Drosophila melanogaster: one gene and its partners. The protein of the gene in region 1 interacts with the protein of each later gene in a pairwise test. Each region holds a gene or a part of one and is shown in the gene's direction. Other genes may lie near its edges. The genes, in order: bsh, CG16826, Bap170 and mil.

Region 1 (6,566 bases):
GGAAAAGCACCCTCCTTCAGCTTAAACCGCAAAGTGGCTGGCAATTCGATGCCCCAGACGTAGTAGCATTTTTATTATTATAAAAATTAGGCTCAGTCCGTCGGACGGGGCACGTGCAACAATGGGAAATTAGGCAGACTAAATGATGGCTCAAAAATATGATCTGCCCTCATAGTTGGCCATGGGAATCTCTGCTCGCAAATCCGCTGATTTCCACCTAGCGAGAAAAATCAATAAAAAACGCAAGGTAGACACGCCACCGAGCAGACTCAAAAAGAACTGAACAAAATATATGTCCTCACAAAGGCCCTTTGGCACGTTCATGTCAGCGGGTTAACAATGGATGACACCGAAGAGTAGTCCATGGAGGAGGAGGTGGATGTGGAGGCGGAGCAGCCAGTTAAGAGCTTTCGGCCAGGTGAGAGAAGTGCTCATCTCTGGCTGGGATACCTTTTTCCAGCTTTCCACTTCTATGGAGCTCTAAACTATATGTAACTATAGTCTCGAGATATTTTATTCTATTAATATTCTTTCTCTAAGATAAATATCAGTTTTTATTTCTCATATATGTAATAATAAATATATTTATAATAAATAATAAATAATAATAATAAATATATTTATTATTAAGGTATACAACCCTTAAATTAAAATTTAATTTAGATGGGATTTCATAAAATAGATTTATAGAAAATGAAAAGAATATTATAAAATAGATATTAAAAGAAAAACGTTGTCTTTTTAGGAACTATGAATCTTATATCTTTTTAATTTAATAATTTTAAAATTGGTAGAGCACTTCTGAAATTAGGTTATCACTTTTAAGTACTATTATTCTAATATCTTTTAAATACAATTAAATATTTTTATTCGTTAACACAAACCCCATAACCCCCCAATGTCCTTAGAGAAGCTGAGATATTTTTGCCCAGGAACAGGGCAGCACATCCCCAAGCAGACCCAACCATCACCGCGATCACTCGAATGCCATCCTAATGCGCCCATTTTAGGGCTTTAACCTAATAATGACGTTCGACTTAGTTTGCGTGACTTATTTTATTAATAAAACGAGCAAATTTGTCTTGCTTTTTGGTCGCATCGTCGTCATATGCTTTTTCTCTCTCGGCGATGTCTCGTTATTGTCCTTCCTTCCTGCTCTGTTTGTGGAGACCCCCCCCCCCCATATTTCCCTCTCTCTGAAGGAATTAAGGACTTTCCGCTGTGAGGAAAGACTGATTCTCAAAGCAACAGGACGAAACAGGACGAGTATAGTTGCGAAAGCAACCCCTCGGCGAGCTCTTCGCCGATTGGTGGCTTGCTGGAAAGGAGGCACGCCCCCTTTTTCGATGGTGTCACTTGGTTGGGTGCGGAGGGGGCCGGGTGTCCTTGGTGGGTGGTGTACGGCTATGTGGGGCTCTGATTCAATTAACCGCGCGGGGAAAAAATATCTGAATGCAAAGCAGGCGAATGCTTGGCCCCAACCCAGCGGGTACAGTTGCGCTGGCTCCACCTAGCAATTATCCTGTCACAGCAGCAGAATCGATTGTTTAATTCAATTATAATAATTGTGGCATTTAATGCACGCACATCATCAGCCAGACAGCCAACAATGGCGGCCGTGACACGTTAATTATGACAAGTGGGTGCCAAATGGGCGGCTGGGGACGTGGCAGGATGTGCCTGCCTCGCAAAATGGCGGCAGAGCAAGGACGCATAGTTGTGCAACTTATTTGCGGCTAACGGGGGTCAATTAAACTAAGGTTTTTCCGCACTAATCGCATGTCCAGTGGATGCCAGCAGAGAGATGGGTGCTCAAAATCCTGCCAGAGCAGGACAACCCTATGCGCATGCAAATCGAGGGGTGTGTTCATGTGCCCGCTTACGGGGATTCCCCGAATATTGCCGCTCTAAGCGGGCACCGCAAAGCGGGCCAACTGCAGCCGGATTGAGGAGGGGGTGGCACTGCCTGCGCTCGCATTTTTTCCCCCCCTTCGATTTTCCCCTTTTCGCAGGATGCAGGACCATATCGCCGGCTCGCTCGCACATGTCTGCTGGCAGCTCGTTTAGAGCAATTTGCTGGTTGATGTGCGGTGATTGCCGCAAACTCAACGCGACCGTCAACGAGCAAACAACATAAGCGCGCGCGCGGTCCAAGGACACGTATATATCCCGGCTGGCTGGCACATCTCCTGGCTCCGGTCTCCATCACTGCTCCTCGTGCTCCTCCTGCTCGGCCATCCTCCAGCGCAATGGCAATGCTTAATGAGGCCAGCTTGAGTCCTGCGGACGCACATGCTCATGCCAACGCCACCACGCCCACGCACAGCAAGGCGGCGGCGATGGCCAGTGCCACCACAATGCTGACCACAAAAACGCCGTTTTCCATCGAGCACATATTGTTTCAAAACTTAAATAGTGCCAGCAATAACAATAATAGTAGTGATACCAACGGCATCGCCGCAAACACCAACAACTACGCGCCAAAGAGCAGCAGAAACGCGGTGAAAAGTGCCAGAAGCGCATTTGCCCACGACAATAATCCGCACAAACATCCGTCGCAACATTCGCATCCGCCGCAGTCACATCCGCCGGCGTCCGCATCCGCATCCGCGACGGCTACTGCCCGCAGCAACCAGGCTGCGTCGGGTTACGCTGGCGAGGATTACGGCAAGTCCATGCACAGCACTCCACGGTTGGTTTCCGAATTCCAAGGCCTAATACTACTGCAGTGAAATTTTAGTTTAAAAAACTTTAATTTTAAGCCAATATAATTGCATAGAAAAGTGAAAAAAAGTAATTAAAATAAAAAAAAAATAAATAAAAAATAAGATAATATTAACAAAGTGAATTTATAAAAGAATAAGAAGTAAACATGAAACATCAAATACGATAGATAGTCACACCTTCTTGAAGACAAATATTTTGGAATAGCATACACCTTTAAAATCTTACTTTGGATTATGTTCTTTTAAATTATAGAATATTTTTTGTAAGAAAAATGATATTTTGGAAACATAGAAATCAGGCTTACCATAAAGCTTAATGTATCTGGGAATATATATTTGTATTTAAGCATATTAGCATAAAAATCACTATTGGACATAAAGAGAATAGTTTAACATCGAAATACCAATAGACCCCTAATTGAACCACTTGCTTCGTAGGTCCAACCACCACTCGCGACACGGAACTTCCCACTACAACGGAGATCAGATTTCGCAGCAGTTGGGATCTGGAGCAGCACAACATCCGCCGGTGCCCACGACTCAACCTCAACCTCCGCCTCCGCCGCCCCTGAATGGAGGTAGTGGTGCATCCAATGGAGTACTCTATCCGAATGCACCCTACACCGATCACGGATTTCTTCAAATGACCCTCGGATATCTCTCGCCGTCGTCGGGCACCTACAAGTCCGTGGATCCCTATTTTCTATCACAAGGTGAGTTAATGCTCGATATTACAGAGATATCCTCCTAGATGATTCTGATTTGTACTGGTACATACAAACATGTTGGTAATAAGTTAAAGTCGAACTCATAGAAATTAAAAGTCAATTCTAGCTAGAGTTTAGCTAATCGAAAATGAAGTTGGACATATTCTCATTAAAAAGCCAGCACAACATTTAATTTCACATTTAGAACTTTTTCAAAATGAAACCCAAATTAGTAGGACAACTGATGTTGAAGTGCAGTTTTTTGTTGCCACATAGCTTCATTTAGGGGCACTAAAACTCGAAATATTCGGTGTAAATGGCCATCAACACCGAAAGTTTTCATTTGTTCCAACTATAACGAAGTTAACCAAATTTTGCATCCTTTGCCCTTTCAGCCAGCCTGTTCGGGGGAGCGCCCTTCTTCGGAGCGCCTGGCTGTGTGCCGGAACTGGCCCTCGGACTGGGAATGGGCGTGAATGCCCTGCGCCACTGCCGCCGGAGGAAGGCTCGCACGGTGTTCAGTGATCCGCAGCTGTCCGGTCTGGAAAAGCGGTTCGAGGGACAGCGATACCTGTCCACGCCGGAGCGTGTGGAGCTGGCCACCGCCTTGGGACTCAGCGAGACGCAGGTGAAGACCTGGTTCCAGAACCGCCGCATGAAGCACAAAAAGCAGCTGCGCCGGCGCGACAATGCCAATGGTGAGTATATTGATTTCATAATCACAAATTTATTATGAGCAAATTAAATATTACGAAATTTATAATACTCAAATCAAGTTATTTAATATTCAAACCTTTTCTGGGCTGTTAAGAACAACTAGAGCGAAAAAGAGTTGCTCAAGTTTTCCAGCTTTTAGACAATGCAATATTTGAGTTAGCAATTAAATTGTCAAAAGGCATTTCGAGCAGGAGTGGTCAGCGGTTTTCAAATTGGTCACAAAGCACCAAAAACTAGACCACTGGAGTGAGTAGTTTCTTTGAGGAACTTTTGGACTATCAATTAGACCTTTTGGCTTTTAGCCGGCTCCTTGTGATGCAAAAAGTTTTGCTCAAGTTTCAACGCAAATCAAATTAGTTCTAAATTTTGTGGAAATTTCTTTGACTCTTCCATGCCGCAGAGCCCGTCGACTTCTCACGCAGCGAACCGGGCAAGCAGCCGGGCGAGGCCACCTCCTCATCCGGGGACTCCAAGCACGGCAAACTGAATCCCGGATCTGTCGGCGGCACACCCACTCAGCCGACGAGCGAGCAGCAGCTGCAGATGTGCCTGATGCAGCAGGGTTACTCCACGGATGACTACTCCGATCTGGAGGCGGACAGTGGCGACGAGGACAACTCCAGCGACGTGGACATCGTCGGCGATGCGAAACTCTACCAGTTAACATAGACAGTTCGATCGGGATGTGGACCTGGATCCTAAAGTAGTAAAGTTTTCGGTGTTTCAGTTGGGGGAAATACAACTAAAAGAGATTTTCAAATCAAAAAATATCAGTTTCTTTTACTAAATGACTTTTCTATTAGACAAGCACAGAAGTTACAAAACAACACATATATTATCAGCGCGAGCATGGTTATACCATTTTGAAAATATCTATTATTACGATTTAGTACGAACTATAGTTCCTTATAATTGTGGAAACTTACCCATCAGTTTCACCATTGAATTAATTGATTGATTATAACAGATACCATCCAGCTACTCTAGCTGTTTTGATCTTGTCCAAAAGAAACATATTTATTTTGCTATAATTATAGTTGTATTTCCCCCCAGATACATATTTGAATTGAATCGAAAAGCCGTGTAAATACCAACGAGTTCTTGAACGAGTTTTCTAGTCATGTATTAAGTCTAATAACTAATCAAATTTAGTGATTGTATTCGAGAACTTCCATTTTAAGATACATTAGTTCCCTGCGACTTCTTATCCAGAACATAGTGCTTACAATAAACGGAACGGAGCGAATTACGCGAATGCTGGAGAAGTGTTACTGGGTGGGTGGGTGGTGTAGCTTGATGCCCGCCCCCTCGCCGGGCAATCAAATCCAATTGACAACACAAAGTAGCAACTAATATGGTTAAGCAGCGGGAATACTGATGTATGGGGTTGGCGACTGCCACGCCCTGCGCATGTCCTGCCGCCCAAGTGGGCGGGCGGAAGCGGGTGGGATTGGATTGAATCGGGGTGGATGGAAATGCACTTAACAATGGCAAAATAATTGCGGGTTTTCAGACAGCCATTTTAGTGAGACACCCATTGTCAAGTGCGGAATAGAGTGAGGAGGTAAAAGTTAAATGTTTCAAATTGATTGGTAATTACGGGTTAGCAGGAATGCTCTCGAAAAAATATTAATAGTTTACCCGATTAAGAATGAGTCTTGGAGGGAATGGAGTTCCATATGCTTATATACATGTAGATACCTTTGCAGTCATCAAAACTCATGGATCTATTTGTTGAGAGAAGTTATCATTTTTAGTTTCATACTTTGGACTGTTAAGACTTTTCTTGACGTCAACGAAGCATATTCCAATTCTATTCTGGCGATTAAATGGCATATGTACATATGCTTGTTAATAATATGTATTTTTTTATATAAATTTCGAGTGTGTATTGAGTTATGCTCAACTTGGTAAACATGCGAATTAATAATATTCGGAATAATATACAACCTAAGGTCGAAGCAATGACAAGTCGCAGTCGCTTTAGCCACTTGTATTTTCCCAGTGAATACAGAAACTAATAAGTAGTACTCTTGGGCTTATCTTGCTATTGATAAGCTCAATGTGAAATAAACTGCTAGAGACGAGCCTCCCTCGATTTTAAGAGGTTGGCAATAAAAATCACAATAAATGTTTTGATTTTAGACTCTTAGTTAGTATAACTCGTATTCTCATGGACCATTTCACATCATACTTATTGTTTAAAATGTTCTCACAGTGAAGCATTTAACGATGGCATTTTCATCGGTAAGCCTGACCACTCTCCTCCGCTCTTCATATGTGGCTCCCTCTTAGTTTTGGAGCCATATGTCTGCAGCTTATGCTCCCCATCTGGACTTGGACTCTCTTCCACTCCGCTCTCTCTTCTATATACATTTTCCGTGTGTATGCTATTTACGTGCTATCAGTTGCCGTT
Region 2 (4,367 bases), 6.4 Mb from region 1:
CACCCAGAACCTGTGGCCGCGCCCCCAATCAGCAGCACTTGGAGCCATCCGCCGCCCTGTGACCTCCTCCAATCCCCTCCAGCAGTTGCCAGAGCGCCGTACTCGAAGCGGCGACGACGCTAAAAAGATACCGGAAATGTTACAGGAAACAAAATGACTTAATGGCCGCGATTGCAACGGCATGGAATCGTTTCAGGCATCCTCCTGATCCTGGTCCTTTTCCATTTTCCTTCATGCTCCTTGGTCCATAGCCTGCTGGCATTCATGGAGGTTGCCGAGGTCAGCAGAAAAGCATAAAGGAAAGGTTATGGCACGGCCATGTGCTGAATGGATACCCTTCTTCAGATCGTCTTTGTTTACAAACATATTTTATATCAATAAGTCATAGTTATTATTTTTAAAAAATAATAAAAAGTTAAGCACTCTTTTAAGTGCTCAAAGAATAGCTATTAAAAAAGGTACTAAGTTTAATAAAATACTTATCACGTGTAAGACAAATATATTCTATTAAGGTCAAGTGATATTTGTGATGTAATCCCACTTACATAAACTTTTTTGAGCTAGCATTTAAGCTCATGCTTCTCGAATTCCCCACATGAATTGCTTTTCTTAAATGGACCAGACTCTCCCACTCCACACCTGATGTCCTCTAAATGGAGCCGATGATGAGCGTGATCCGCCAAAGGCAAGTTACTGCCCATACGACCCGACCCGACCTCTTTCTTTAAACAGGTAATTGCAATTGCGACATCATTATCATATGCTAAACGGAACTGATTGCTATTGAAACGGTTTTGAGGTTTGAATTTCTTTTGAGCTGAAACATATTTCTAATTAAATTAATTAAGCGAAGCGAGAATATGGCAAGTATGCAAGCCAATTAGTGGAAAACGCAAAATTAAATGTCTGTGCATTGAGGAGACTGCAGCGGTGTGGAGTGGATGGGTGTAAAAATAGCTGGGAAAAATGGCAACCAGAAGAGTGCGGGATCGCTCCGCCAACCCATTGTCCTTGTCCATGGAGCACTTTGTTGGCCACTCCGGCTATAATTGCGTTGAGACATGTAAGCTTTTGTTTTGCAGTTAGGCGTGTGGCTGTGCGACAAAGTTAATGACAGCATAATTAAACAAAACTAACAGCAGACTAATAAAATGTTCATAGTGCATGTCGCTCAAGGCCTCGGCACATCACCACGCCATCACAACCCCATCACCTCGCCACCCACAATGCCAGCTACTTTCCATATCTCCAAATGTATATACATTTATACAATACATATACCTGGCGAGCATTTCATGTCGTTGTGTGTCAACGTTTGTCAAGCGACAATTAAAGTCATAATAAAGGCATGCTAAAGACAATTATTATGTGCACGTCCTGCCACGCCCCCCAAAAAGAACCACCCAGTTCGTTCGGTTAGTTATGCATAAAGTTCGCCACAAAAGGGTTTAACCTGAGCGTAAACATGCGCTCCTTTGTCTCGCAGGCATATAAATTTCAAAATTAAAGCAGAGTTTAACCTTTGTCCTTGTGCAAATGGCAGGGTGGGTCTATAACCACCTGCCTGCGATTGTGTGAGACCCGCATAAAGAGCCTTCGGTTTTAATGCACGCGAAATTGACTTATTTGATTTATTTTCATAGTTTAAGCCAAGGGCTTTTATTATAAGCATGCTTTAAGTGAGTGGATTTGAGAGGGGATTTTAAGAAAATGCAAGGCAAAAGTTATATTTATATTCGCGTTGTTAATTATTTATTGAGTACTGTATTTTGCGGTGATTAAAAAAATAACGTTGTGTTTGAATAAAGAAAATCATTGTCCTCATAACACTGAGAATGCATAAAATAATTTTTTTTTTAATTGCCCCCAAGTACAGTAAAACAAATGTGCACAGAGCTTTCTTCGAAAAGTTATCCAACCAGCATGCATTCCACTATTCGCTCATTATGGAAAGCGGCTGATTAAATATTAACTAATTTAATAAAATGCCGGCCTGCTTCAATATTGAAATAGTCAGCGAATGTATTTGCCCAAGCGCACGTAGCCGAGATATATAAAAGGTGGTCCAGGGTGCAGAATGATTAGGCTATCCGTTGACCGACGATGCATTCGACCAAGTCAGCCGTTCTCCTGCTCGCCCTGGCCATCAGCGCCAGCTGCGTTGTTGCCACACCGCATCCGGAATTCTTGGATGAAATCTTCGGCTCCATAAACCAAACTGGCCAGCACATCATCAGTGGATTCGTGAATGCCACCAGGAATGGCACGGCCATTGCTGGTGAGTTCCTGGACAGCATAAGGAACTCCTCCGCCCAGTACACGCACGAAACCCTGGAGTTTGCCCAAAAAATCGCAGATGCAGTTCATAGAGCCGCCACTGAGTCAATCGTCGACTTTTCCGCGACTCTGAGGGCGCAGATCGACGCACTGCATCAGGGGATTGATCGGGTGAGAAACATCCTGCAGCGAGAGGCACTTAAGGATGCTCTCGCCAGACTGCAGACCGTCAATACCGTCGTAAATGATCTGGAAGTGGCCGTGAATAACCTCAATGATCGGATAGACGAGAAGAAACAAGAGTATTTCGCCATAATCCAGAAGAAGTGGTACCAATGGTCTGACGCCCAATTGGAACGAGTGGATAAGCTGACGAATGGAGTTGGCAACGAGGAAGCCGAGGAGATCATAAATGAGCTACTCTCCCGGTATTCCGGATATCTGCACAGCTGCCTGGAGGAGTTGCAAGCGCAGCAAGCCACGTTTGAGCAAAATGTCCAAGAGGCCATCGAAAAGTACCACAATGCCACCAACGAACTGACGGACCAAGTCGAGCTCTGCGTCCAGTTCAACCTCAGCTTCCTGTCCTGCCGCAATGGCATCAATGAGGCACTACGCGGACTCGACTCGGCTCCCGCGGAGCTGCTCACCCTGAAGCTTCAAGGCATCCGACTACTGGCCATCGGCCTGAATGCCAGCGGATGTGTGGGCCAGACCCTGGCCGAGCACGAGCTGGAGAAGCCCAGCGTGGAGCGCAAGCTGGATGAGATCATTGCGGAGTACCAGGAGCAGCAGACTTCCACCGATGACGACTCTAGCTCTAATAATGAAACGACCACCATAAGTTCGTAGGATTTCGGGGAGTCATCCAGTAATGAATATGACAACTCCAGCAATGACGACGAATCCTCATGGAAATATTTACAAGAACGTATAGTGTATTTTAGGTGTCGGGTAGAAGCAGCAAAATAAATTACTCTAATGCAACTAAATTAGAAATTGTTTTCCTTCATCGTTTATCAATGATGTTTCTTAATAAACTATGCCAAGCTTCTCAAAATATTTCTTAACTTTGAACAGTACTTTAAAAATTACTCTACCGCAAACGTATTACCCAGATACCGATTAACTTCATCAATGGTGCAGCACATTTTTTGCGGATGCTAAAGCAATTATTTTAAAATTGTCATATTCATTTATTTAGGTAAGGCACGAAAGTCGTGGCAATTTAAAGACACGAGGCTTTAGTAGATTAATTATTTAAATGCATTCGATTCTGCCTTTATATGTAAATTAAATAAGGGTGCTAAATAATATAGAAAAAGGGAAAAAGAAACTAACTTGCACTCTTAGCACCTCCCCTACTAACAAATGATGCAAATGAACTGAGTGAATTCCCCTTAAAGGACTTCCCCAGCTGCTATAAATATAAATAGTTGTATAACAACAGTAACGAAAGGTATAACACTGAATTAACAATCTCAACTGCTATAAAAATGAACTTTTGTGCTTTTGTATAACAGTCAATTGAAGAGGACACGAAGCGCGTAGTACAGCGTTTATAAAGTTTTATGCTGTTATATTTTTCAATGAAAATGTGTTATTTCATATCGAATATAACAGATTTGCTATAATATTCAAATTATGGCTCCGTTCAACTAGCATACATCTGATTCTCATTTATAGCTCATACGCCATGTATACATAACTAACGTACAGCTGGGTAAATTACATTTATAGCTCATACGCCCTGTATAACACGTGTACGATTTCCCCTTTATGACTTTGCGAGGGGGGCACTAAATGAACCACTCGAGAATAAATATTTGCTGAAATAAAACGCAGGCTTTCTATCTTAGTTTGCTTACTTGCAATTTTATTGACTTCATGTGTTTGAATAGATCTCTTTAGTATCTGAATTTGCCTCTTATTACCTAAAGACCACTAAATCTGTTTTTCTGATTTCTGTTTATTATTTACTTAATGATTATACTTTTTGTGCGCTAAGCCAAACAAAAAGTTTACAGATTTCGAAGCATTGGAAATTCGATTCAGTTTCGTGATAATACTAAACTTATCATTTTGCGTTT
Region 3 (8,703 bases), on another chromosome or scaffold:
AATTCCTTCCTTCAGGAAAAGCCCATAGTCCCGGTAGAAGGCCTCGTACTCTTCTGGCTGCTTCTTGGACCGCTCTTGCAGGAAACGGATAACGCGGGTGGAAATCACACTGGACAGTTTGCGAATCAGGCTGCTGTTCTGGAGCAGCTCGCGACTCAGGTTGAGTGGAATGTCCTCAGAGTCGACAACACCCTTTACAAAACGCAGCCACTTGGGCAGCAGATGCTCAGTCTTGGACTGAATAAGCACCTTGCGGGTGTAAAGAGCCACACCGGTGTTTCCGTCCCGAGACATCTCGAATAAACCAGGCTTTCCTTCGGGGAAGTAGAGCAGTGCATGGATGCTCAAGGGTACGTCAGCATTATAGTGTAAGGTGAAGCGCGGGACATCGAAGCTATTGCTAATGAACCGATAGAAGTCATGGTGCTGCTCCTTGCTGATGCTTTGTGGCTCAAGAAGCCACAGAGGCTTGATCTCATTGGCCTGCTTTCCGTTAAGCAAGATGGGTGAGCCCACAAAGTTGCTGTATTTCTTGATTACCGCCTTGATCCTCTCCTCGTCCGCATATTCACGGCAATCGGTCTTTAAATGAAGCACGATTCGCGTTCCCAACTCAACGTCAGGCACCTCTTCGATCTCGTAGGTTCCACTGCCATCCGTGGACCAACGCAGTCCGGGTGCATTAGGCACAGCCGCCCTCGTGAACACCTCCACCTTATTGGCGACAATGAAGGAAGAGTAAAAGCCCACGCCGAACTGACCAATAATGTTCGAGGATGCCTCCGAGCTGGCTCCCTGCTGGGTCCCCTTCATCTGCTCCAGGAACTTCTTCGAGCCGCTGCGTGCAATGGTGCCCAGGTTGCTGACCAGCTCCTCCTTGGTCATGCCGATGCCCGTGTCCTGGATGATTAGCTGCATCAGTGGCTTGTCGGTGGTGATACGAATCTCCAGAGGCCGGTCCTTTCCAGCCAGATTCTCGCCTCCAGCGCTCAACGAGGTGTACCGAAATTTCTCCAGCGCATCGCTTGCATTCGAAATAAGCTCGCGCACAAAGACCTCGTGGTCGGAGTATAAGGAACGAGCCACAATGTCAAGTAGCTGGCGCGTCTCTGCCTGGAACTCATGCTTGTCCACCACTGATCCTGATGCCTGCTTGGTCTCCGTGGAGTAGCGACGGAGCGAGAGAGCTGCAAGTGAAAAGATGAGTGTTATGTAAACATAAGAATCCCTCCGGGGAGCCGGTTGCTTATATTCAGTGCTTACCACCCGGCGAATGCTGCGATCCAATGGTGATATTGAACGCTGCTGGGGCGGATCGGTGACTCTGCCTCAACACTTGGGCACAGCGACCGAGGCGGCACGCCTGGCCCAGCACTCCCATCGCTCGTACAGACATCTTGTTGTTTTAATGTTTTGCCCAACTTTAATGTTACCCAACTACGAAGTTTGTTCCAGCGCACATGTGTGCACAGTGTAGCCAAATCAATCGATTGTAAGTATTCGATAATAGTAAACTGGTAAAACCCTACTCATAACGGTGTTTTCTTCCAAATTTCTGGGCTGTAATGAATTTTGGACTCAAATGCTTAGTTGGTTTGAATAAGAGTTACTACATGTAATGGAGAGTTCAGTTTCATCACATTATTCAGCTCAAAACTGAAGCAAACTGCCAGCTGACTAGTTCTCTAAAGATTTCGATCAGCAAGAGAGAGAGAGAGAGATAGAGATGTTTCAACTGTGAACAACAAACCGTAAATTCTGAAGGAATTAAGAACAGATTACGTTTCATTGTTTAGCCAATGTAGATTGGATGCTGATTTTTGAGTTATGAAATAACAAATGTCTTCAAAGAAGACAGTAAATAAAAGAAAGTTAAATCAAATCCAATATTGAAAGACATCGATACCTCATATCGATATACGGTCCAATTGCTGACAGCCCTGCTCGTGAATGCAACTCTGCTGTAGCGCGTCAGCGTCGCGTTGTAATTTTTGTTGAGTTTTTTAAATAATTTTAATTAGCATCTGCGTGTCTTACTATTAGAATATCATGTGTTAAGTGTTTCCCATTCACGCCACCACACAAAAAGATCCAATCATGAGCGCCACCACCATCGACAACGTACGGGTGCTGCTTCAGTCGCTGCCTGCTGCCGCCGTAAACAGCGCCACTCAGCCGGGCGATCTACAGACGCCGGGCAAGATTGCGGCCCCAGCGACTCCCCTTCGCGCCAAGAATCCCGCCCAATTACAGATCATGCCGGAGAAGGTCGAGGAGATGCCGCCGTCACCTCCGGAGGAGTTCTGGAGGGACCTGCAGCAGTTTCACGAACGACGCGGGTGAGTTGCCGCGGCTCTCCTGTATTTGGAGACGACCTAACCCACTTTCCCTCTGCCCAAACAGCACTCCATTGACACAGCCCGCCAGGATCAGCGGTAAGCATGTCGACCTGTACAAGCTGTACAACGAGGTAACCGAACGAGGCGGCTTTAATAAGGTGACCATGCGGGACGAGTGGGACGAGGTGTACAGCGCCATGGAGACATTGCGGGAGCGCTGCGTTAACGGAACGGCTAGTATCAAGCACATCTACAGACGCTACCTGGACAAGTACGAACGGTTGAACTTCTTTGGCGAGGATCCAGACAAGATGGAGGCTCTGGAGGCGGCTATTGAGATTGTAGAAATGGGCGGTGGACGCTCGCGATCTCGTTTTTTGGCTGGCGCCGGTGGTGGCCTAGGAAGCATTTTTGGATCAGCACACTCTACGTTGCCGGCGGTGCCAATGGCCTACAACCAGCGCCAGCACTCTGTTAATGTGGAACGACGCCGACAGTACAAGATGTCCACGCAGTTGCACCGACACAGCAGCTACGAGAAGCTGCTGTTGTCTCTGCTTTCTCCGCTGCCCAATGAGCAGGACTTCGCCATAAACGTGTGCACACTTATGGCCAACGAGGCGCGCCACACCCTACAGCTGTCCGAGTGCCCCAAACTGCTTGATGTGCTGCTTGCTCACCTGGGAGTCTACGCTGACTTCACCATGCGCCAGCTGTTCCAGCACAGTTACACCGAGGTTCGACACCATTCGCAGCTCAGTTTCTGGCGCGACCTGCTACACGACAAGCCACAGGTCCTAGAGCTCTACACGGATGAGCAGGCCTGGCTGGACAACGGTCTGATAAGTAAGGAGGACGGTGAGAACTCTGCCGCTCGAAGTGAACTGCTGGCGGCCTGCGACGAGTTGCACTTCCTTAATCTGCGCCGGAGCAACGGGACTGATGAGCGCATGGGCCAGCGAGTGCTTCAGATTGTCCAGCTAGTCCGTACACTCAGCTTTCATCAGGAGAATCATGCACTCTTGGCCTCCAACCGCACGTTGTGGCGATATTTGGTCATGGGAGCAAACGTACGATGGAGTAAGTTTTTTTTATCTGCTTAGAAATTATATTTTTTGGCGCTTTGAATGTACGAAGTATCAAGGTGCTATCATAAATACACTGCAAGGAAATTGACTATTGCGTAGCATAGCAATCCCGAAAGAATCAATTTAAAATAAAATAACTGAAACACGTTTCGCTCGTTCTAGGCAACATTCACATCCAGGCCCTCGAGACCGCTGGCAACCTGGCTCAACAATTTGAGCTGCTAGACCCCACCACTGACGAGCTATCGCGGAATCTTTTAGCTACTCTCTGCGAGGGTATTGACTCTAACGACCGCGCGGTGATCATGAGCTGTCTGGAGATACTCTATAAGTTGTGCGGACGAGAAGGCAATTCGCAGCACATCAATCGTTGCCTTGGCCTGGACTTTTACCAGCGAGCCATGTTGCTCCTCTCGCTTACCGACGTCATGATGATTATCTTTACGCTGGAGGCAGTTTACGCACTAAGTGCTCTTGGCGCTCGGCCATGTTCGATGCTGATGCAAGTACGTGGCCTAATAGACCAGCTGGTGACCCTTATCACAGTGGAGGCTCAGTCATATGGCACAGGCGGTTGCATATTAATGCGTGTCGTAGAGGTTTTCCCCGGAAACATGGCTGCCTCGCTGGCTCAGAACATGCCCGCCATTCTTGCTCCAGGTCCCACTTCCCTGACTACACTTCCAACATCGCTGCAAGTAGCTGTTAAACCGCCAGCAGTTTTACCCACGCCTACACCCGCCCAGACGCAAGTGCTGCCTCACGGAGAGCAAACACCCTTGGTTACAGCTCTCCCCGGTCTGCCAATGCCCAGTCTGCCACAGGTTCAATTGCCTGTACCCAGTCTGCCGCAGGTACAATTGCCACCAATCGCTGCCACCGTGACCCTTCCCAGTCTGCCCTCCGCCTCCCAGAGTTTTACACACGAGGACGAACAGTATGCGCTGGCTTGGCTGGGAGCCACGTATGAACGGGCTGGGAACGGTAACGATCTCCGTGTGGAACAAGCGGAACTATACAGAATATATTTATCGCATTGCCAGAAGGCGGGTAAGCTTTCAGTGGTTAATCACATGCAGTTTCCTCGTCTAGTGCGGCTTATATTTAATCAATCGGTGGGACCAGTAATTGTACGGCACCTGGACGGAATAGAGCTACCTGGGACGTACTACGTAGGCATTAGGATGCGAGCTCAGCCGCTAGCCATGCAACAGAGACCCACCCCCAGCATTGTTCCTGTTAAAAAGGACACGCCAATATTGCCCAAGCAACCATTTAGTGATCCTGTTCAAACGGAAGTGGCGTCTGAGGAAAGCGTTTCTTCTGCAGTCACGCCACCCCCAAGCTCCTCGCTCATCAAAAGCTTGTTGGCCAACAAGGTAACTGAACGCCAACAGAAGCAGAAGGCCCAAGCTCAGACGCCGCAGCCGCCAGCCCTTGTGGCTACCACGGCATCGGGCACAAATGCTACCCAGCCCATCAAGGTAACCTCAACAGCTATAAGCGCCTTCGTGAACAACCCGCTAATGCAGCACACACCGGTGAAGGTGGGTCAGACTACCATTAAGCCGTTGCACCCCCAGATGGCCATCGAAAAGAAGCCAATCACTGATTCGGCCCCGCCACCTCTCGCTCCATTGAGTGGTGCAAACGTAGTGACGAAAGACGCCAGCGGGCGCACTCTCATCATTGCATCAGCAGCTGCCAAACGAAAATTAACCATTGACGAGGAGCAGAATAAGCGTCTGGCTTTAGATGCCGCTGCCAGCAGTTCCAGCAGCTCATCTTCTGGCGGCAAGGAAGAAGCGCAGGTGACTCCCTCGAAGAATGCAGCCAATCTCTATGCGGATCTGGCGGCATCTATTTTGGAGGATGAGGATATGGATGACGTTCCACCGCTGGCCAAACCAAGCCAGGAGCAAAGCCAGCAGCACCCGCAACAGGCACAGCAGCTTCAACTCATTCCGGCTAAAGTGCAACCAACCCAACGTCAACTTGTTTTCCCCGGTAGCAATGTGGTTTCTCCAGCTCCGCATTCCCAACTAAAACTTGCCACCACGGCCACCATAAAGACGGATCAGGGCTTGCAAACTGTGCCAGTGATCCTGCAGCCCAAGACTGCAATGGATTCCACGCCAGCTCCGCAGACGCAATATGTTCTGGCCACCAACCAGCAAGGCCAGACGTATCTTGTGGCCCAGCAGCCGACTATTCCGACATCCACGCAGTCGGCACCACCCACTCTGCTGGTGACGCAAACACCACAACAACAAACGAAGACCATAATAATCCTGCAGCAGCCAGGAGGAGTCTCTGCGGCGAACGTGGCTGGCACTCAGAAAATGATAATGACAACGGCGCAGGGCCAGCAGGTCCTGGTTACCACCACCACAGCTCCACAACTGGCCCAACCGCGTACTTCTACCCCCCAGCAGCAAATCTTTATCGCACCCCAGCGACCAGTTCCGGCGTTGGGTGCTGGCCAAATGTCGCCTTCACTGCTGTCGCAGTTGAACCAGATCCCGGCTACTATAAAGCTTCATCAGCCCCAACCACAGCCGCAGCTCGTTTCGCCGCAATTAGCACCCCAGCAGCGATTAGTTGCCGCAAAGCCGGGCGCTTCATTGCCCATTCCTCAGCTCCAGCAACATCAGTCTATCATCCAGCAACACATAATCTCGGGCCCCTCCACTCCTACTTCCACAGTTGGCGGTACGGTTGGTGGGGAAAAGAGGCAGGTAATTCTGGGCGGAATCAAGGAGACCACGCTAATTACCCAGACGTCGGCCACACCGGCTCCCCTGCAGCAAAGCCAGCTTAACTCGCAGACGATCATCACTCAGTCACCTACCAGCACGGCTATCGTAGGAGGCGTGGCTCTTCAGCAGCAACATCACATTCGATCTGTGTTGGACCAGCAGCAGCAGCATCATCCATCCATCATCCAACAGAAGATAACCATGCCGGCAGTAAGTTGGGAACTGGGGCCGAAATTAAAGAATTATTATTTTTTTTTAAGTATATATACAAGGGTCATTGAAAAGTATGTAAACAGCTTAAAATTTGATTTCATAATATGCCCATGCCCGTTCTAAATCCCATAAATCGCATCACATTCACATTCCCCATTTTTAAATGTTTCCATCGCGTTTTCACTACTTGAGTGGCGGGTTTTACAGGATCTCTTTTCTAAATAGCCAACAGGTGTATGGTAATAAGAATTGTGCTAAGATGACTAAAACAAATATTTTAATATATTATTTTAGATTTCCGAAGCGACCAAACCGAAAATAGCACCCGTTCCAGTTTCACCAACTGTAACTCTCCTAGCAAAAAAGCCGGCGCCGCCACAACCTGCTCAAGTATCTAGCCCCAAGCCATCAGTCACCCAGGCTGTTGTGGTAACGACGTCAGGAACTAGTGATTCAACGGAAGGCGGCAAAACAGTTGTCTTAGCAACCAGCGAGGCCAAGCCAGCGGAATCAGAGGTAGTAGCACAGACGGTTGTCCCACCTGCTGTCGTAACTACAGGTCCCAGCAGCAGTTCTTTGGTTGTCAGTCAGAGCGTCTACGCTGCTTCTGGCCCGAATGCCAACCCCACGCCCTCTCCCATGCCCGTGGATGCAAATTGGTTGTACATCTGCGACTGGCGGAACTGTCCCCGCAAGAAATTCAAGTCTCTTAACGAGCTGCAGTACCACGTGTGCAGTGTCCACTGTCCAGATCACCTTGATTCTGATGCCGACATTTATTGTCAGTGGGGCAGCGGACCCAACTTCTGCGACAACAGAGCGCGCAAACGGTACTCATTGATGACGCATCTGATTGACCGGCACCTGACAACGGAGAACTTGCGCGCCAGTGTGCAACGTCGCCTGGCAACTGGGATTCACAATGTGGCGCCCACCCAGGCTCCCGTGACCATAGTGCGCAACGAGGGTCATGCCCAACGATTGGCGGGAGGCGCTACTGGTTCACCTTCGGGTCCTGCTTCAGCGGTTCCAGTCGTTGGCAGCGCCGCAATGCAAGCTATGAACCGACACACGACTGATTACACGAACGCTAAAGAGCTGATGGACGAAAATGAGGGTCCAGTCACCAAGAGCATCCGTCTGACAGCGGCGCTCATTATACGCAACCTGGTCACCTACTCGGCTACGGCCAAGAGAAGCCTGAAACGCTATGAGTCACGCTTGGCCAATGTCGCCTTTAGCAATGTGGAGGCTAGCGGAGTGCTCTCCCACATCATGTACGAATTGAGCCAGTAAGCCGATATAGCTTACCATCAATATGATTATTTAACTGACTTGTAAGAACGACACTAAAAAAATGTGAAAAGCAAACCATACCTTGTTTGTCTAAATGATTCATACCATATAGCACCAAAATATGGGAGATTCGGGAGTAAGATTTTAATTTGACTTCTACAATTCTACGAGGCTTAGAATTAAAGAGCTATGGTGGACATTATCAGATATACTCCTGGTTAGCAAATAAACGTTTTGAATTAATCGTTCAAAACATACTTTGATTTACATTGTTCTTATAAAATATTAATTAACACATCTGAGTTATAATCCGTTAAAAGAATCCGAACCGAAGAGTCCGCTAAATCTTCGTGTACTACAGTGAAACACTTTTTATCGCCTAACGTAAGATATTAGAATGGGATGAAATCAGGTTCATCATACAATAGCTTCTCCGTTCTTCAAAAAGTTTTCATCGTCCAAAATCGTATACTTGTTGCTCCTGTACGTGTCCAATTCAAAAATGTACTTCTTGCCGCAGTCCTTCATTAGCTTGTGGATAACTGGCTTGATGTTCTCGATGCCCGCGATACTGGCCAGTTCATTGTAGTAGACAAACTGAAATTACAGATAAAAGATTGTTTTATATATGTTCTCTGCTTGTAAAAGTCTTTAACAAATAAGTCTACATAAGCTAATATTTTTAATTTCTTATACAGGGTATTGTGAACACTCACCTGTCGCTCGCCCATCTGATGTGCTTTCTTCTGGTTGCGCACGCCGCAGCCCCACCGCTCTCCGATCTCCTGCTCCAGATCGGCAATCATCTGCTCCCGGGAGGGAAACTTCCGCTGACCTGTGAAGAACTTCAGCGTGAAGCGCACCTGCATGTCGAAGATGTGGGTGGGAATCACGTTGAAGGGCAGGCCCACAAAGGCCATGGTCGGGTGGTTGATGTTGATGCAGTGCTTCCACAGTGGCTGCACGAAGTTGTCTATCACCTGGACACCCACATCGGTGCTGAGGCAG
Region 4 (4,398 bases), on another chromosome or scaffold:
TTCGCCGAGCAGCAGCAAGGATATTTTTGGCGAAAAATACGAAAAGCAATGACCCTCTTAGCCAATTAGTTGGCTATGCAAATTAGACGGAGATATTTCGCAAGTTTTCCAGCTGTTAATTATCATTTAACTAATATCATTTAATGGCAAACACAGCTCTGCACTTTGAGGCATTAGGCGGGGCCAAGTAAAAAACTTTCAACTTCTTTGGCTGAAACTGAAATGCACGGAGAACGGTGGCAACCGACAGCTGCAACTTATTAGATGCGTTGTCTGGTTTATGCAAAACCAAAGGCAACACTGGCCCCTGTCCCTCGGTGCACCAGCCACTCGCGTATCCTAGATCCTGGGAGTTCTGGCCACCACCTAGTTCCATTTAAAATAAGCAAAGCAAACTAACAAAATTCGTTTATGAACGCCATGCTGCCTGCAGCTCAAGGAAAGTTCAACCAAGGTGCAAAATAATTTGTTGCAATCAGCTTAGCCTGGCCAGGATTCCGAGGATGCGATGCCCTTCGCCCGATGCCCGATGCCCGACCAACCAAAAATGGTTAGTGAGTGCCATGCCCTGCCATGGTTGCGTTTCTGGGGCCGGGCAAGTTTTCAATTTAAGTTGAATTATTATGACCTTAATTAACACGTCGTTTCATCATCAAATGCCGCACTACATCTTATGCTTTTGTTGCAGATATTTCGGCATGGCGCCGTTGCTTCAGTTTCAGGAGCAGGTGGAAACGTAGGAGTTCCAGGCTGCCAGGTTGCCTGGCTCGTGGATGAGGATGTTGAGCTCCTGATTCGATTTTCTGCAGACATGCACTTTTGCCAGGAAGGAGCTGAAGCAGGAGCTTTAATCCCTGCGCCAAGTAACTGTTGCTCCGGTTGGTCGGGCTGCGCCAAACCATTCCATTCTGCTGGGCTCTACTAATTTTGGTTTTAATTAAATTCAAACTATGTTGACGCTCCCGGCACTGACGACCTCCGACGAGCGGCAATCACGTGGGTGATGGCCATGGTCCCCATGTTCCTCCAAATGATCCTGATGATGCTGATGATGATGGGGCTGCTCCATTACTTATGTAGCTACATTTTATGCACCGCCTAATTGAATGACCGAAATGTAAATTGAAAATGCCCGAATAGCTTAAATGGTTGTGCACTTGAAGAGTCCTTGATTAGTTGATCTTGATTAGTTCCCAACTATCGATTTCCATCTCATTTGGATTAATACCTAACTATCTTGCATATTCCATTCCTGCTAATGATAATGACGTGAAATATATATACATACCAATTATTTTGCACAGTGCAGGCATACACTCGTACAAATGTGGAAATTGGCCAGCCAGAGCCGTCATCATCAGATGCCTGGCTGCCTTACACTATTTGCGTTATGATTTCTTTTTAATTTCCCAGCGGTATTTAGGGAAAAAATTTAATAATATCAAATATGAGAGCAGCGAGTGGTGGATGTCCTGTGGAGACTGGACAAGTGCATGTGCCGTGTGTCGTGTGTGTTTGTATTTGTGGGCAAACATTCAACAGCGCACAACAATGCGATCTCCCGCTTTTCCCGCTTATCCTCTGCGGCTTTCATTTGGCGGATGTGTGTGTGCGTTGTTGTGTGTGTGTGTGTGTGTCTGGACTTCCGCTTGGCTGAATTTGTTTACACTTTTTTTTCGCCCGCCGCCACTGGCCCACTCATAATTTCATTTTGAAATGTTTGCCTAAGCGACAATTTCACTCTTTTTTTTCACTTTTTTCTGTTGTTTTTCACAGCCGGACATATGGCACTAAGCCTGGCCCACATTATTAAAACCAGCGACAAAAGACAAGCGACTCTCGGATAGACCAGAAACTGGGTCCACGGTCCATTTAACAGACTCCAGGAGGCGATGGCGATGGCGATGGCGATGGCAATGGCTGAACCTGAACCCTTGGCGGCACAGCACTCAGCACGTGATTTGCATACACTTAGGCCAGGCTGGCGGCACCCAGTCCAAGCTTTTGGCCCACACTTAATTACATGCCAAATGAAAAGTTGGCGGAAGCAAACAAAAAATTTTGGGGAAACCAAAAATATATAAACAGGAAAAGAGCAGGAATTAAATGTGCGTTAAATTGCCAATAAACATGGCCTGCATCTCAATGGGCAAAGTAAGGCGAAAGGGGTGACTAAAACAGCAATAACACGAGGGTTTAAAAATGTAGCTTAAAAAAAAAGAATAATAAATTGCTTAATATTTTCTAGTACATCTAGTTAGTTCCAGCACTTTAGTGAAAAGCGGGCCTTGCCTTTTGTGCTGGGAGTTTTGGGAAACTGATAGAGCTACTTTTCATTCCCACAACGGCAGTCACAGCGAAAACGCACACGTCCAAATTTTATACTTGAACAAAACCAAATCACTTCAAGAAATATTTTTTTTATTTTTCTTTTGATTATCGTGTCGAAACATAAATGGAAACTGTGCGAAATCGAAACCCTCCGCGGATGAAGTACACCGCTCCACCGAAGATGGAATCGGATTTAAACTTCACCGAGAAGGAGAAGAAAACTCTTACCGAACTGAAGCAGCTCTATTTGGAGACCATTAACCTGGATGTGGCTCTGCAGCGCGACATTTACAATATCGAGAAGAAGTACGAGGATAAGCACAATATCATATTTGATAAGCGCAAGAAGATTCTAGAGTAAGTCCATTAATGGTGTTTGGTTAAACAAGATCTCAATTCCCCCAAAAATCCCATCGGTGCAGTGAGTTTAGAAAGCAAAACCACGGCGACGTGGAAACCAATCAGAGCGTGCCCAACTTTTGGCTGAGGGTTCTCAAAGCATCGTACACCGAGTTCATCAGCAAGAGGGATGAGAAAATATTAGAGGTATGTTATGGATAGATCCGATTTGAAGGATATTTAAATTTTAATTGAAATTTTTCCCGCGCAGTGCTTAAGCGACATCCGTTCTCGGCTGTACAACGAACCCGTGGTGAAGTTTGATATCGAATTCCACTTCGATCCCAATGATTACTTTACCAACACGGTGCTGACCAAGACATATTTCCTCAACTGCCTGCCGGATCCAGACGATCCGCTCGCATATGATGGCGCCGAGATCTACAAGTGCGAAGGCTGCGTCATCGACTGGAAGCAGACCAAGGACCAGACCAAAACCGGTAAGCCATCTGGGAGCATCAAATTTCACAGATGTTAGTTGAATTCACTCATTGACCAGAAAATCAAGAGCCGTCGTTCTTTGAGTTCTTCTCGCCGCCGCTTTTGCCAGAAGATACCCTTGACCCCAACTACTGTGACGTCAATGTAAGATTGAATATCAGCGATCTGCGATCCTTTCACATGCATCTCCTCCCACAGGCTATGCTGCAAAACGATTTTGAGGTGGGCTTCTATCTAAAGGAGCGCGTGATTCCCAAGGCGGTGATCTTCTTCACCGGCGAGATTGCCGATTGTCAGAGCTCCAGCGGATCGGAGACCGAGTCGGAAGATACCGAGGACGAGTCGGATGCCGAAGAGGAGGATGGCGTCGACAAGTAAACATTTTACACCGCTTATATACAGTTTACATACATTTTTAACTCGAGTCACCGAACTATTGGCCTGTCCTTACCCACTACATACCAACCAAATAAACATTTCATTATACATATTTACCAAAAGGATCTCGCGCGCTCTTTTTAATGCCTAGCTAAAGGAATTGAATTGTGGTTTTGATTTATACAGTGCGTTTAGCCTGGCGTGTATATATTACAAGGACTCGAATAGTCAAACGTAATACTAGATGGCTGAGCTACAGCACTCGCTTGTAGCCAGCGTTGTGGATCCATCGGCTTGGCCATGTCGTCTTTTTTCTTAAAAAAAAATAAAATAATCCAGCACGGCCCACTTCGACGGAATCTTTACAAACAATATTCTAAGGAGCCACCACCTCCTGTGGCGGTGGCGATTTCGGTGGCTGCTCGTCGTCGGCGCGCGGCGGTGGCTGCAGCATCACCACCACCGTGTCATCCTCTTCCTGTGTCTCCAGCTCCGGAAGTCTTTCAAACTCCTCCAAGTGATTGGCGACCACTTCGCATTTCGGTTTGGAGATCTTGAAGCGCCGAATTGCCGGAAGCGTAATGCTGGTGCCACTAACATCGATATACACCAGATTCGGAGAGCACTGCACCAGGTGCTCCAGGGTATGATTTGTGATGAGATGGTAGTTTCGCAACGACAGTCGCTCCAGTTTATTGTCTGGCGAGCGATTGATGTTCCGGATCCAGACAACGTCCGGTTGCACCGGTCGATCAGCTCGGCCAAAGCTATACATCGCCCGATCGGTGACATAGTATTGAGGTGTTGTCTGACAGGAAGGCGGACGTGGGCGCACTCGTCGAGCATAGT

The links.
Region 2: the proteins of bsh (region 1) and CG16826 interact in a two-hybrid assay, tested with the Drosophila melanogaster proteins (one large-scale study listed by BioGRID).
Region 3: the proteins of bsh (region 1) and Bap170 interact in a two-hybrid assay, tested with the Drosophila melanogaster proteins (one large-scale study listed by BioGRID).
Region 4: the proteins of bsh (region 1) and mil interact in a two-hybrid assay, tested with the Drosophila melanogaster proteins (one large-scale study listed by BioGRID).

Annotation. Positions count from the first base shown.
Region 1 is NT_033779.5:19,764,613-19,771,178, reverse strand, and holds bsh (brain-specific homeobox), read left to right. Parts: upstream 1-2,111; 5' UTR 2,112-2,249; coding exon 2,250-2,692; intron 2,693-3,164; coding exon 3,165-3,439; intron 3,440-3,828; coding exon 3,829-4,131; intron 4,132-4,550; coding exon 4,551-4,819; 3' UTR 4,820-5,403; downstream 5,404-6,566. UniProt on the Drosophila melanogaster protein: DNA binding protein that function as transcriptional activator. May play a role in the determination and function of cell types in the brain.
Region 2 is NT_033779.5:13,345,694-13,350,060, forward strand, and holds CG16826 (uncharacterized protein), read left to right. Parts: upstream 1-2,079; 5' UTR 2,080-2,103; coding exon 2,104-3,129; 3' UTR 3,130-3,327; downstream 3,328-4,367.
Region 3 is NT_033778.4:6,634,592-6,643,294, forward strand, and holds Bap170 (brahma associated protein 170kD), read left to right. Parts: upstream 1-1,920; 5' UTR 1,921-2,097; coding exon 2,098-2,339; intron 2,340-2,403; coding exon 2,404-3,419; intron 3,420-3,589; coding exon 3,590-6,396; intron 6,397-6,693; coding exon 6,694-7,695; 3' UTR 7,696-7,767; downstream 7,768-8,703. Other genes in the region: Trap1, read right to left, coding at 1-1,187, 1,264-1,396; Fmo-2 (Flavin-containing monooxygenase 2), read right to left, coding at 8,113-8,292, 8,412-8,703.
Region 4 is NT_033777.3:27,910,113-27,914,510, forward strand, and holds mil (milkah), read left to right. Parts: upstream 1-2,334; 5' UTR 2,335-2,455; coding exon 2,456-2,688; intron 2,689-2,753; coding exon 2,754-2,877; intron 2,878-2,941; coding exon 2,942-3,170; intron 3,171-3,229; coding exon 3,230-3,315; intron 3,316-3,369; coding exon 3,370-3,549; 3' UTR 3,550-3,673; downstream 3,674-4,398. Other genes in the region: CG5003 (uncharacterized protein), read right to left, coding at 3,926-4,398.